2 linked regions of the Macaca mulatta genome follow. The main gene of each other region encodes a partner of the protein of the gene in region 2 in a complex. Links are inferred from orthologs where the notes say so. Each region holds a gene or a part of one and is shown on either strand. Other genes may lie near its edges.

The links. Proteins that work in one complex are often made in the same cells at the same time.
Region 1: the proteins of SIRT5 (region 2) and PRDX1 are in contact, whole or in part, in a crystal structure (PDB 8Z54), measured with the Homo sapiens proteins. The link is inferred for Macaca mulatta from reciprocal best matches to the Homo sapiens genes SIRT5 and PRDX1. Residues at the interface, in NP_001363727.1 of Homo sapiens: Ala86, Tyr102, Arg105, Gln140, Ile142, His158, Val220, Val221, Trp222, Phe223, Gly224, Glu225, Asn226, Leu227, Leu232, Val253, Val254, Tyr255, Pro256; in NP_001189360.1 of Homo sapiens: Phe195, Ser196, Lys197, Gln198.

What each region holds. Positions count from the first base shown.
Region 1 is NC_133406.1:195,089,415-195,095,830, forward strand, and holds the start of PRDX1 (peroxiredoxin-1), read left to right. Parts: upstream 1-2,875; 5' UTR 2,876-2,942; intron 2,943-5,891; 5' UTR 5,892-5,902; coding exon 5,903-6,008; intron 6,009-6,416. UniProt on the Homo sapiens protein: Thiol-specific peroxidase that catalyzes the reduction of hydrogen peroxide and organic hydroperoxides to water and alcohols, respectively.
Region 2 is NC_133409.1:169,515,380-169,521,103, forward strand, and holds part of SIRT5 (NAD-dependent protein deacylase sirtuin-5, mitochondrial), read right to left. Parts: intron 4,885-5,724; coding exon 4,831-4,884; intron 2,792-4,830; coding exon 2,668-2,791; intron 1,018-2,667; coding exon 902-1,017; intron 771-901; coding exon of another isoform or gene 731-770; exon of another isoform or gene 216-730; intron 1-215. UniProt on the Homo sapiens protein: NAD-dependent lysine demalonylase, desuccinylase and deglutarylase that specifically removes malonyl, succinyl and glutaryl groups on target proteins.

The DNA of each region.
Region 1 (6,416 bases), on a different chromosome or scaffold from region 2:
TTTTTTTGAGACGGAGTTTCACTCTTTTTTTTTTTTTTTTTTTTTTTTTGAGACGGAGTCTTGCTGTGTCACCCAGGCTGGAGTGCAATGGCCAGATCTCGGCTCACTGCAAGCTCCGCCTCCCAGGTTCACGCCATTCTCCTGCCTCAGCCTCCCGAGTAGCTGGGACTACAGGCACCCGCCACCTCGCCCGGCTAGTTTTTTTTTTGTATTTTTTATTAGAGACGGGGTTTCACCGTGTTATCCAGGATGGTCTCGATCTCCTGACCTCGTGATCCGCCCGTCTCGGCCTCCCAAAGTGCTGGGATTACAGGCTTGAGCCACCGCGCCCGACCGGAGTTTCACTCTTGTTGTCCAGGCTGGAGTGCAATGGCGCTATCTCAGCTCACTGCAACCTCTGCCTCCCCGGTTCAAGCAATTCTCCTGCCTAAGCTTCCCGAGTAGCTGGGATTACAGGCATGTGCCACCACACTCGGCTAATTTTGTATTTTTAGTAGAAACGGGGTTGCTCCACATTGGTCAGGCTGGTCTCGAACTCCTGACCTCAGGTAATCCACCTGCTTCAGCCTCCCAAAGTGCTGGGATTACAGGCATGAGCCACTGCGCCCGGCCCTGATAGTGAGAAGTTTTTTGTTTTTTTTTTTTTTTTTTTTTTTGAGACTGAGTCTGGCTCTGTCGCCCAGGCTGGAGTGCAGTGGCCGGATCTCAGCTCACTGCAAGCTCCGCCTCCCGGGTTTACGCCATTCTCCTGCCTCAGCCTCCGGTGTAGCTGGGACCACAGGCGCCCGCCACCTCGCCCGGCTAGTTTTTTGTATTTTTTAGTAGAGACGGGGTTTCACCGTGTTAGCCAGGATGGTCTCGATCTCCTGACCTTGTGATCCGCCCGTCTCAGCCTCCCAAAGTGCTGGGATTACAGGCTTGAGCCACCGTGCCCGGCTGAGAAGTTTTAACTCAGTAAATTGACTACAGAGCCTCAGCTTTTATTTATTTATTTTTATTTTTATTTTCTTTTTAAATTTTATTTTATTATTTCTTTCTTTAGCCCCAGCTTTTAAACCACAAATAAGAGTGACATGATCAGATTTCAGAAAAATTTCCTTCGGCTGCAGTGGAAAGGATGGATAAGAGATAGTGTTAATCGAAATGAGTGACTAAACAGACTAAACCATGTCACAGACACTTCTGTGGCTGCTTCTTCCCAAGAGGTTCTCAGGAGGTTTTTAGCATTTATACATTTTCTTTGAAAAGTGGGGGTGGGAAAGTGAGGCGAAGACTTTAGCTAATGCTCAGTAAATCTACATTTTGTTTTTTGAGACGGAGTCTTGCTCTGTTGCCAGGCTGGAGTGCAGTGGTGATCTCGGCTCACTGCAACCTCTGCCTCCAGGTTCAAGCGATTCCCCTGCCTCAGCCTCCCGAGTAGCTGGGACTACAGGCGCGCCACCGCGCCCAGCTAATTTTCTGTATTTTAGTAGAGACGGGGTTTTACCATGTTGACCAGGATGGTATCAAACTCCTGACCTTATGATCCGCCCCCTCCTCGGCGGCCTAAATCTACATTTTTACACAAGATAAGGTGAATGTTTGAGGAAAATGGGAATAGCGGAAGAAAACAATTGTGTGATGGACTCAGGGTAATCTAGTAGTAAGGTACTACTAGAAAGGTAGAAAGTAGTCTAGTAGAAAGGTAATATAGTAGTCAACATTTATGGAATTTGTGGAATAGAGGCCAGGTGAGGTGGCTCGCGCCTATATTCGTAGCACTTTGGGAGGACAAGGTGGGTGAATCACCTGAGGTCAGGCGTTGGAGGCCAGCCTAGCCAACAGGATGAAACCCCGTCTCTACTAAAAATATAAAAAATTAGCTGGGCATGGTGGTGCGTGCCTGTAGTCCCAGATACTCCGGAGGCTAGGCGGGAGAATCGCTTGAGCCCGGGAGGTGGAGGTTGCAGTAAGCCTACACCGTGCCACTGCACTACAGCCTGGGCGACAGGGTGAGTGAGACTCGTCTCAAAAAAAATGTGGAATACAACAAACTTTCGTTTTAGGAACTAGACTTTAGATTGCAGATCTAGTTACAATTGACACGTCCTTGTTTTATGGGAGGCTACATACTTTAAAGGTTTCCAGGGTAGCAAATAATTGTGATTTTGTGTATGTGTGTTTGTGGGGGGTAGTCATCAGGAAGTGTCTGAGGCCTTTTGCCTTACTGTGTAGGTCTGGCTAATGTGTAATATTTTGACTCAAGATTGTAAAGTCAAGTTATTCATCCGGGGAAAGGATGGTCGTGTAGCTGAATCAGCGTCCTAAACTGAACTTTCCCTTTGGCATAAGTTTAGGAGTCCTGATATTTTATTTTGCTTTACAACAGAAAGCAGCAACCCTGTAATCAAAGAGAACAATGAAGGAAGCTATCTAACCCATGAGGGTTACTGAGGATCTGCGCTGGGGTTAAGGCTGCTTAACTTAAGAAATATTCGGACAGACAGTTCTCATGGCTTGGTGTGGTTAGACGTGGTCATCCGTGGGCAGCAGCTAGGACGCTTACTCCGGTTTGGGCATTAAGGGCACAGTGCGTAGTGGTCCTGGAAGTAAAGGGAATCCTGGTTTTTCGCAGAGACCTTGGATTAACCTAAGCGTTTGGGTTTGGGAGCGGCCACAAGAGCGCCTCACTCCAGCCTCAGCCATCCGCAGCAGGGAGAGGTATTAGTATTTCCGCGCCCGCCCCCACGAGGAAAAGCGCCGAGTCATTCCGGTGGGGCGCGCCGGGCGGGGCTCGGGCCACATCCCCCTCCTCTTTCTTCTCTTCCAGAACCCCTGGTCCGCTCCGACTCTCGCGAGAGCCCTACTGGCTATAAAGGCAGCGCCCCGGGCGGATTTTGCGCGTTTTGTTCTTGCCTGTTTTGTTCTTCCGTGGTGTTGATCTGTGAGTTGTGTTAGGACTGGTGAGTGTGGGCAGCGCGGCCTCTGCGGAGTGAGGCGCGGCGCGCCTTTCTTGTCTGTTGCCTCTTCCTTCTCCTGTCCGGGGCTCGCCCGCCCTTGGGTGGGGGTACTGTGATGCGTGAGGCGGCCGGGGGAGACCCGGAGCCCGAGACTGCCTGAGCGCTACGCGCACCCCTCTCATGGGCCCCCCACGTAGGTGCGGGGACGTGGGACCCCAAGGCTAGCGTGGACTCGAGTCGAGTCGTTCCCCGGCAACTTGAGCACGTGGCGCGGCGTCTGGGCGGGCTGGTGGTGGGGTCTCCAAGACTAGCCTCCTGTCGGGCGGGGTGGGTTCGGGAAGCTTCTGGAATGGACCTGTATCCGGACTCGTGGCTGTAGAAGACAGCCTGTATTTTTGTCCATCTTGTGATAGGGTAAATGCTGTTCCGGGTCCTGAGCCTTGACTAGCTGCGGAGCTTCGGGTACCCTTTCCCCGTCTTTATTTTCCTGTACGTGGAATGGAGTTAGTGATGAGCCCAAATGTCCCCGCTGAAGCACTCTTTCTGCTGGTACTTTACACAGTGCTGGGGAGGGACAGGGGTACCTGAAGTGGGGTTCAGGGGTGTGGCCCTCGGCACTGGGCAGATCCCCTGAAGGGGCCCGGCGCCGGCCTGAAGCAGCCTTTACCCCGAATTGGTTGGGTTTGGTACTTGGGAGCCACCTGGGAAAGTAGGATGGGACGAGAAGGCCATTTGGGGACACCAAGTTGCAGCATGCATTAGTTTCTGGTTTTTGTTTTTTGTCGTTAAAGGTGTTAAGGACTTTTTAAAAAACAGTTTTTAAAGAACTTTAGGACTTGGAAAAACTTTTAGACTGCGGCTCAGTGGGTTAAAACTCTGTTTTTTTTTTTGAGAGAGTCTCGCTCTGTCGGCCAGGCTGGAGTAGCAGTGGTGCGGTCTCGGCTTACTGGGACAACCTCTGTCTGCCGAACTCAAGCAATTCTCCTCCCTCAGTCTCGCGAGTAGCTGGAATTACAGGCGTGTGCCACCAAGCCCCGGCAAATTTTTGCTGTTTTTCTTTTCTTTTTTTTTGAGATGGAGTCTCGCTTTGTCGCCCAGGCTGGAGTGCAGTGGTGCGATCTCGGCTCACTGCAAGCTCCGCCTCGCGGGTTCAGCCATTCTCCTGCATCAGCTCCTGAGTAGCTGGAACTGCAGACGCCGGTCACCACGCCCGGCTAATTTTTTTTTTTTTTTTGTAGTTGTAGTAGAGACGGGGTTTCACCATGTTGGCCAGGCCTGTCGCGAACTTTTTTTTTTTTTTTTTTTGAGACGGAGTCTTGCTCTGTCTCCTAGGCTGGAGTGCAGTGGCGGGATCTCGGCTCACTGCAGCCTCCATCTCCCGGTTTCAAGTGATTCTCCTGCCTCAGCCTCCGGAGTAGCTGGGACTACGGGCGCGTGCCACCACACCCGGCTAACTTTTTGTATTTTTGTTAGAGACGGGGTTTAACTATGTTGGCCGGGCTATTCTCGAACTCCTGACTTGAGGTGATCTGCCTGTCTCAGCTACCAAAGTGCTGGCATTACAGGCCAAGATCTCGATGCTTATCTTGGTGTTGATCTGGGTGAATCCTGCGCAACCTTCCTTTTCAGAAGTAAATTGATTCTTGTTCTACTTCTTTTCGCCCTGGGATATTAGCCCAGAAGTCAGGAACCCATTTGTGAAGGGACTTCTAGGGCTTACACAATACCTAAAGATTTGAAATTAAGCAGACGCCAATATCTTGGTCTTCCCGCGCCCCCCCCCCCCACCGGCTTTTTTTTTTCTTCACTGTATGGCCCAGAGTGAAAAGTCTCACTCTGTCGCCCAGGCTGCAGTGCAGTGGTGTGATCTTGCCTTACTGCAACCTCTGCCTCCCGGGTTCAAGCGATTCACCTGCTTCAGCAGCCTCCTGAGTAGTTGCGATTACAGGCATGCACCACCACTCTCGGCTAATTTTTGTATTTTTAGTAGAGACAGGGTTTCACCATGTTGGCCAGACTGGTCTTGAACTCCTGACCTTGTGATCCGCCTGCCTCGGCCTTCGGAAGTGCTGGGATTACAGGTGTGAGCCACCGCGCCCAGTGGTCTTGCCTCTTAAAAGTTGGACTGGCTGGAAGGGTGCGGTGGCTCACACCTGTAATCCCAGCATTTTGGGAGGCTGAGTTGGGCGATCACCTGAGGTGAGGAGTTCGAGACCAGCCTGACCAACATGGAGAAACCCTTTCTCTAATAAAACTACAAAAAAATTAGCCGGGTGTAGTGGCTAGCGCCTGTAATCCCAGATACTCCGGAGGCTGAGGCAGGAGAATCACTTGAACCCTAGAGGTGGAGGTTGCGGTGAGCCGAGATAGCGCCATTGCACTCCAGCCTGGGCCCCAAGAGCGAAACTCCGTCCAAAAAAAATAAAATAAAACAAGTTGTGTTAGTTATAGGTCGACCGTGTGCTGTCTTTGACAAAGCTACCTGGAGAAAAGTCAAATATGCTTCTGACGTTATTAAGGCAGGTGGAGGCACAGTAATGGGAAAGGTCAACATGACTATGAGCCAAACAAAAGTGTTTGTGGCATTGTGCATTCGGATTCTGGTTTGAGAGTCTTCACCTGCCTCCCTCTCTGCTTCTGTCTAATGAATAAGATGCCACTGCACTAATTATGGTTCAGAAAGAGTGAGAGGTTTTCTTAGTATATAAAGAAATTGCCTTGTCGTTTTTAAATGAAAACAAAGGCTGAGATTCAGAGACTTGTTTTGTTTCAAAAGCTCTGATTGTGACCCTTGACTGCTGGCCTGAGCTTCTTACTAAAATAACATTTAATGTATTCAGGGACACTGGACAATGCCTTGATTGTTCTACAGCTAAGTCTCTTAAGTAGGTGAAGGCTGCTGGTTATCTAGAAAATTAAGGCTTGTTTCTAATTAATTTCTGTTATTTCTAGCTAATAGGAAGATGTCTTCAGGAAATGCTAAAATTGGGCACCCTGCCCCCAACTTCAAAGCCACAGCCGTTATGCCAGATGGTCAGTTTAAAGATATCAGCCTGTCTGACTACAAAGGTAAGAGAATTTACACTGGGCTCATTGAGATGGGGTTATTTTATATTCTAGGGATGGCTTGTTAGATTTGTGTCAGTGTTATGTTTGACTGTAAAACGTTTTGTCTCCTAGAAAGAAGTATTTAGGTTGTTACCTTCATGTTGAAGTAGTGATTATCAAGTGATTACAGGGTATATATCCTAGGACCAAACCACTTCTGGAGAAACCACATGCTTCATTATGTCTGGACATACTAGCTCAATTATCTTTTTAGTATTCCTCCTCTATTTTCTTTATTTATTTTTATTTTTGAGACAGGGTCTCATTCTGTCACCCAGGCTGGAGTGCAGTGGTGCAGTCATGGCTCACTGCAGCCTCTACCTCTCTGGACTCAGGCGATCCTCCCACCTCAGCCTCCCAAGTAGCTGG
Region 2 (5,724 bases):
TTTTTCCTTTTTTTTTTTTAAATCCCAGCAGAGACTTTGAAGAGTGGTTCCTATCCTGGCTGCACACTGGAATCACCTAGGAAGCTTATCAAATGATGTCTGGGCTGCAACTCAGAGCAATGACACTGAAATTTCATGAAGTGGCCCCCAGGCATCAGTATTTTTAAAATATGCAGCCAAGGTTGGAAACTGCTGATTAAAGTAATGACAAGATGTTTCAATGAAGTTTTCTATTTTATTCATTTATATTCATTTACTACTTATTTATAGTCTAACTTATTCAAAAGGAATTAACTAGATGGACAAGAATAAGAAGTAAAGGCAAAAAAAAGTTGGAGTGAGAAAAAAGACAGAAGGGTGAAGACATAAAACAGACCCAGGAATAAGACTAAAAATGCATACTATGACAATCTACACTTCCCACCTAAACTTGGGAAGCAGGATCAGTGTCATAACATGGCCACAGATACAGATAACCTTGGCGATTAGACCAAAGGGGAATCTGCCAGGTGGCCTCCCAGTGAGAACGGCAGGTGATGAGGTTCTGCAAGGGCGTCTCCCAGGCTTACTTGCGGAGCATCTGGGTAACCTACAACTAAAGGCCATCACTGAGTCTAGCTTAAAAATGTAAGGGAAAGCAAAGCCTAAGGAATCAAAGAAGAGCTTTCAAAATGTGAACAAACAAAAGTCCCATGGCAAATGTCGTGTACAATGACAGAGCTACCCTACCTTAGTCTACAGTGAATGATTTTGTTCTTCCATAAAAGCAACTGCAGATCAAACAAAAAAACACAAACCCTGTGTCTTTTTTAAAAATTAGAGGAGTAGGTCAACTATGTTTAGATGACCATGTCTGCACCTGCCTCCCACATCGCCCTCTCCCATCAGGGTATCCCAGTACCTGAATCTGTTCGTAGCTGGGGTGGTCTCCGTATTAAATTCTGCCACTGGCACGCCCCTGGCAGCCACCTGGGGGGCAAACATGGCGGCTGGGTACACCACAGAGGAAGTGCCCACCTACAAGGCAAGCACATGGAGATGGACAAACGGCCACACGACAAGAAGGAACATTTTTTCAGAAAACCTTACACAAACTCAGATAGGTCTGTGGTTGCAGGTGTGAGAAAAGCCAAACAGGATGGGATAAAACAGGGTGTCCAAGGGATGAGGGAAAGTGAAGAGCTGTCCTTTGATCAATCACTAGAATCGACAAGAATATGTGACATGAAAAGGAGAGTTAACAAAAGAGTGACTTAGAAGTGACTCAACATGTTTTGGGGGTAGTTCTGGTTTTGTTTCTGCTTTAAAGTTAAGCAAATGATCCATAACTTTTTAAAACATATTTTCTTTTTGTTAAAGGTAGAAAATACGAAGAAAAAAAATAGATATCATCAATAATCTTACCCCAAGATAACCACTGTTAACATTTTCATGTATGTCCTCTTAGGTTTTCTCTCATAAATATTTGCTTATAAACATTCTTTGCAGGGATGGGAAGAGCATGACTGGTTTGTAAACCAGCTTTTCTCATTTAACAATCCATCATCAACAGTGATACTATACTCGACATTGGAAAGCATTCTTTAAATACTGGCTGAATGAATATGCACCACAAGAAAGTGCCTCTGCTTTTAAAGATGTGTCCAGAAAAATTTGAAATATGCATACAATCTGTCCAATTAATCCCACTTTTAGGAAATGTGTCTTAAGGAAATCATTTGAAGAGCATGGTAAGATTTCTATCTAAGGATATGTACGATATCATTGATTAAAATATCAAAATTTGAAATAGCCCAAATGTCTTACAGTAGAGAATTAGCTAAATATATCATTCCCTATCCATATAAAACACCATACAGTCAACTGAAAGATGATATTGATTTAGATGTACTGACATGGAATATGCTAAGTGAACTGCTGCGTGAATAAAGTAGTTTCAAAACAGAACATATGTCATGAAGTCAGTTTTGAATTTTAATTAATATGTGTACATCTGCATAAGAAAAGGTTTAGACCAGAGGTGGGCAAACTTATTCTGAAAAGGACCATAGAGTAAATTTTTCAGGCTTTGCAGCCATTCAGTCTCTGTCACAAGTACTCAACTCTGCCACTGTAGTTTGAAAGTAGTCATAGTGTGTGGAAGAATGAGTGCGGCTGAGTTCCAATAAAACTTTATTTACAAAAACAGGTAGCAGGCCCAATGTGGCCCAAAGGCTGCTGTTTGCTCACTCCTGGTCTAGAAGAAAATATACTAAACTGCTAATGGTAACTATTTCTGATTAGCAGAACTATGGGCGATTTCTAATTTCCTCTTTATAATGTGATAATTTTTGCATGTTCTCAATTACATTTAATCATAAGCACGTATTATTTTAAAAACCAATAGTATGTTCTTTTTTTTTGGTGGGGCTGGGGGAGAAGGCTTTGAGATGTCCAAGACATGCATGGTTTCCCATTTTAATATAAATTCTTATTCATTGTTTCTCAGTTTTTCTATAGGATGCCACAAAGACCTCTCAACATACATTTTAAGGAAAGGAAGAAGGGGAGGGGGGAGAGAAGGCGGGAAGGAAAGAAGCAAGGGAGCGAGGACGGAAAAGGGGAGAGGGGGAAGCAAAAAATAACTAACTCCAGTCCTGCTTGGGGTCAGGGAAAGCCGTGACCCACCACTAGACATAAATCACAGCGGCCGAGCTCTTTGTCAACCTCCTCCAGAATGGCAGGATCCAGGTTTTCTCCAAACCACACGACGTGAGGGCGCAGCAAGCCTCCGCAGCCTGCCTCTTCACACCTGGAAGAATGGGATCCTTGAGCCAACCCCGAGCAAAGTCTGCCCAGCTGGATCGGAGGGCGGCCAGGGGCTACCCCAAACCCAGTACGTCCAGATGGTTCACCTCTGATGCCTCTTATTCCCTACACTCTCCTCCCAGCCTATATAAAGTTGCCTTGCATGTGAAGCATCAGGTGTAACGGTCCTTTTTTTTTTTTTTTTTTTTTTAATTTATTTTTTTTGAGACGGAGTCTCGCTCTGTTAGCAGCCCAGGCTGGAGTGCAGTGGCGTGGTCTCGGCTCACTGCAAGCTCCGCCTCCCGGGTTCACGCCATTCTCCTGCCTCAGCCTACCGAGTAGCTGGGACTACAGGCGTATGCGACCACACCCGGCTAATTTTTGTATTTTTAGTAGAGATGGGGTTTCACTATATTGGCCAGGCTGGTCTCGAACTCCTGACCTCATGATATGCCTGCCTCAGCCTCCCAAAGTGCTGGGATGACAGGCGTGAGCCACCGCGCCCTGCCGAACTGTCCTTGTTTTTTATCTTGTCTCTGTGTACTTGATGTGCTGACAGATTGTTTCAGCTAAGCTTTCCCGGTTCCTTCATTATGCTCACACTTGTGCTCACAGCCACCCAGACCTGGGAGTCATACTGGACTCAGGTTTGCCTCCCACCCCAAGCATCCCCTAATTTCATCGATGACCTTTCATGTGCTCTCAGGTTCACGTCTCTCTGGTCCCGTATGTAGTCAGCTTTCCTGTATCCATTACTAAAAATCTCTTTCTTTCACTCCCTCCTACCTCAGGGTCACCTTCTATACACCTCCTAAAATCATCCCTCAAACACCATTTTCATCATCGTAATCTCCTGCATCATAGAAGTCCTCCAGGTCTCCCTATTCCTTCAGAAGAAAACTTTAATATTTAGCAATTAAAACCCTCATAAGGAAAATTTAAAAGGTTCTGTGGTTAAATAAGTCAGTAAAGCATTAACATACATTTTATAACCACTTTTTAGAAGGCAGCAATGTGGAATAAATGCTCTGAAAAGTCCTGCAGTAGAGCAAACATATTTTAACTTTGTTTAGTCTAACATTTCTGTAATTTGAGTGCCTAACATGTTTTTATCAAGTAATGTCTCTCAACGTAATATTAAATTAATATTCTATGAAACACTTTTAGAAGTGCTGTTTTATTTTACCTTAAAAACACTCTAATCCAGCCAGGCGCGGTGGCTCATGCCTGTAATCCCAGCATGTTGGGAGGCCGAGGTGGGTGGATCACCTGAGGTCAAGAGCTCAAGACCAGCCTGGCCAACATGGCAAAACCTCGTCTCTACTAAAAACACAAAAAATAGCCGGGCATGCTGGCGGGCGCCTGTAATCCCAGCTACTCGAGAGGCTGAGGCAAGAGAATCATTTGAATCCAGAAGGCGGAGGTTACAGTGAGCCAAGATCGCGCCACTGCACTCCAGCCTGGACATCAAGTGAGATTCCATCTCAAAAAAAACCCAAAAAAACAAAAAAACCCGCAACAAAAAAACCTCTGATCCAATTACAGATTATAGAAGTGCTGTTTTAATGTCTGGTTTTGAAAAATTGGCATCAAAATCTTCCTTTTTTTTTTTTTTTTTTTTATCTATGAACATTCTGTTGGGTCCTGTAACCTCTCCTATTCACGTCCTTTCATTGCCTCCTTATTCATTGCCTCCTTAACCATGGATTAATAATGCCAGTGATGTTATTTGACCAGTTATAGGTCAGCCCATATGCTTTCTGTACACTGGGTAACCACCTGTCACACAACAGCTTCAGAAACTTTCCCGACCTGAAATGATCCCGCCAGAACACAAAGCAAAAAGGGGTTGGAAAGAAATCATTTTTTTCATCCTACTTTGGTTCATCCTTTGTCCTTTCACTTTTGGTCTTAGAGGTCAAGGCTAGTTTTCACATTTGTGCATTTGATTTAAGAGGCATCTTGCCAAATACATGTTTAGATTTTGATGTCTATTTTTTTTGTAACCAGGAACACTGGTACAAATCAGAGCTTTTTACCCACCGGGGAAGTTTCTCAACTGGGATGCTGGCATCTTGAGTTCCAGGTTCTGGAGCACTGAAGCAAATAATATTAGAAAAGAAAGATTGTTATTGGCATAATAAAAAATAAAGAAACAACATAACTCAGTTTGTATATTTGCCTGGTAGTATGTGGTGTAAAACTCCTAATTAATACATGCTCACTTGGAAGGGCATTAGAAGGAAGGACCCCAGGCCATTAATTACCAGTGGTACTGGGCATAGTGGCTCATGCCTATAATCCCAGCATTTGGTGAGGCCAGAGTGGGAGGACTGCTTGAGGCCAGAAGATCAAGACCAGCCTGGGCAATATAGTGAGACTGCATTTCTACTAGAAATACAAAAATTAGCTCAGTGTGGTGTGTGCCTATAGTCCTAGCTACTTGGGAGGCTAAGGCAGGAGGATTGCTTGAGCCCAGGAGTTGGAGGCTGCAGTAAGGTGTGATTGTGCCACTGTACTCCAGCCTGGGAAACAGAGCAAGACTCTGTCTCAGAAAAAAAAAAAAAAAAAATCACCAGTGGTTGTACTGCCAGTGAGAGAATTCCTGTGTAGGGAGGGCTGGAGTAGCTGGGTGTGCTAAGAGGGAACTTCATGTTTACCTTTATACATCATCATCATTTGTATCCTCTGCAATGACATTATACATTCCTTGTATAATTTATACTGTTTTGAAATGGAATTTTCCTCAATATTGTGTCTACCCTCAAATGTTTCCCTTATTGTAATAATAGTGCTTGTTCATCATAGAAATGTAGGAAAATTCAGAAAGATATAAAGAAGAAATTAAAAATTACCCATAATCCCTCCACTCCTGATATTCCTTGTTAATATTTTGTTATATTTTCTTCTGGTCTTTTAACTATATGCAGTTATACA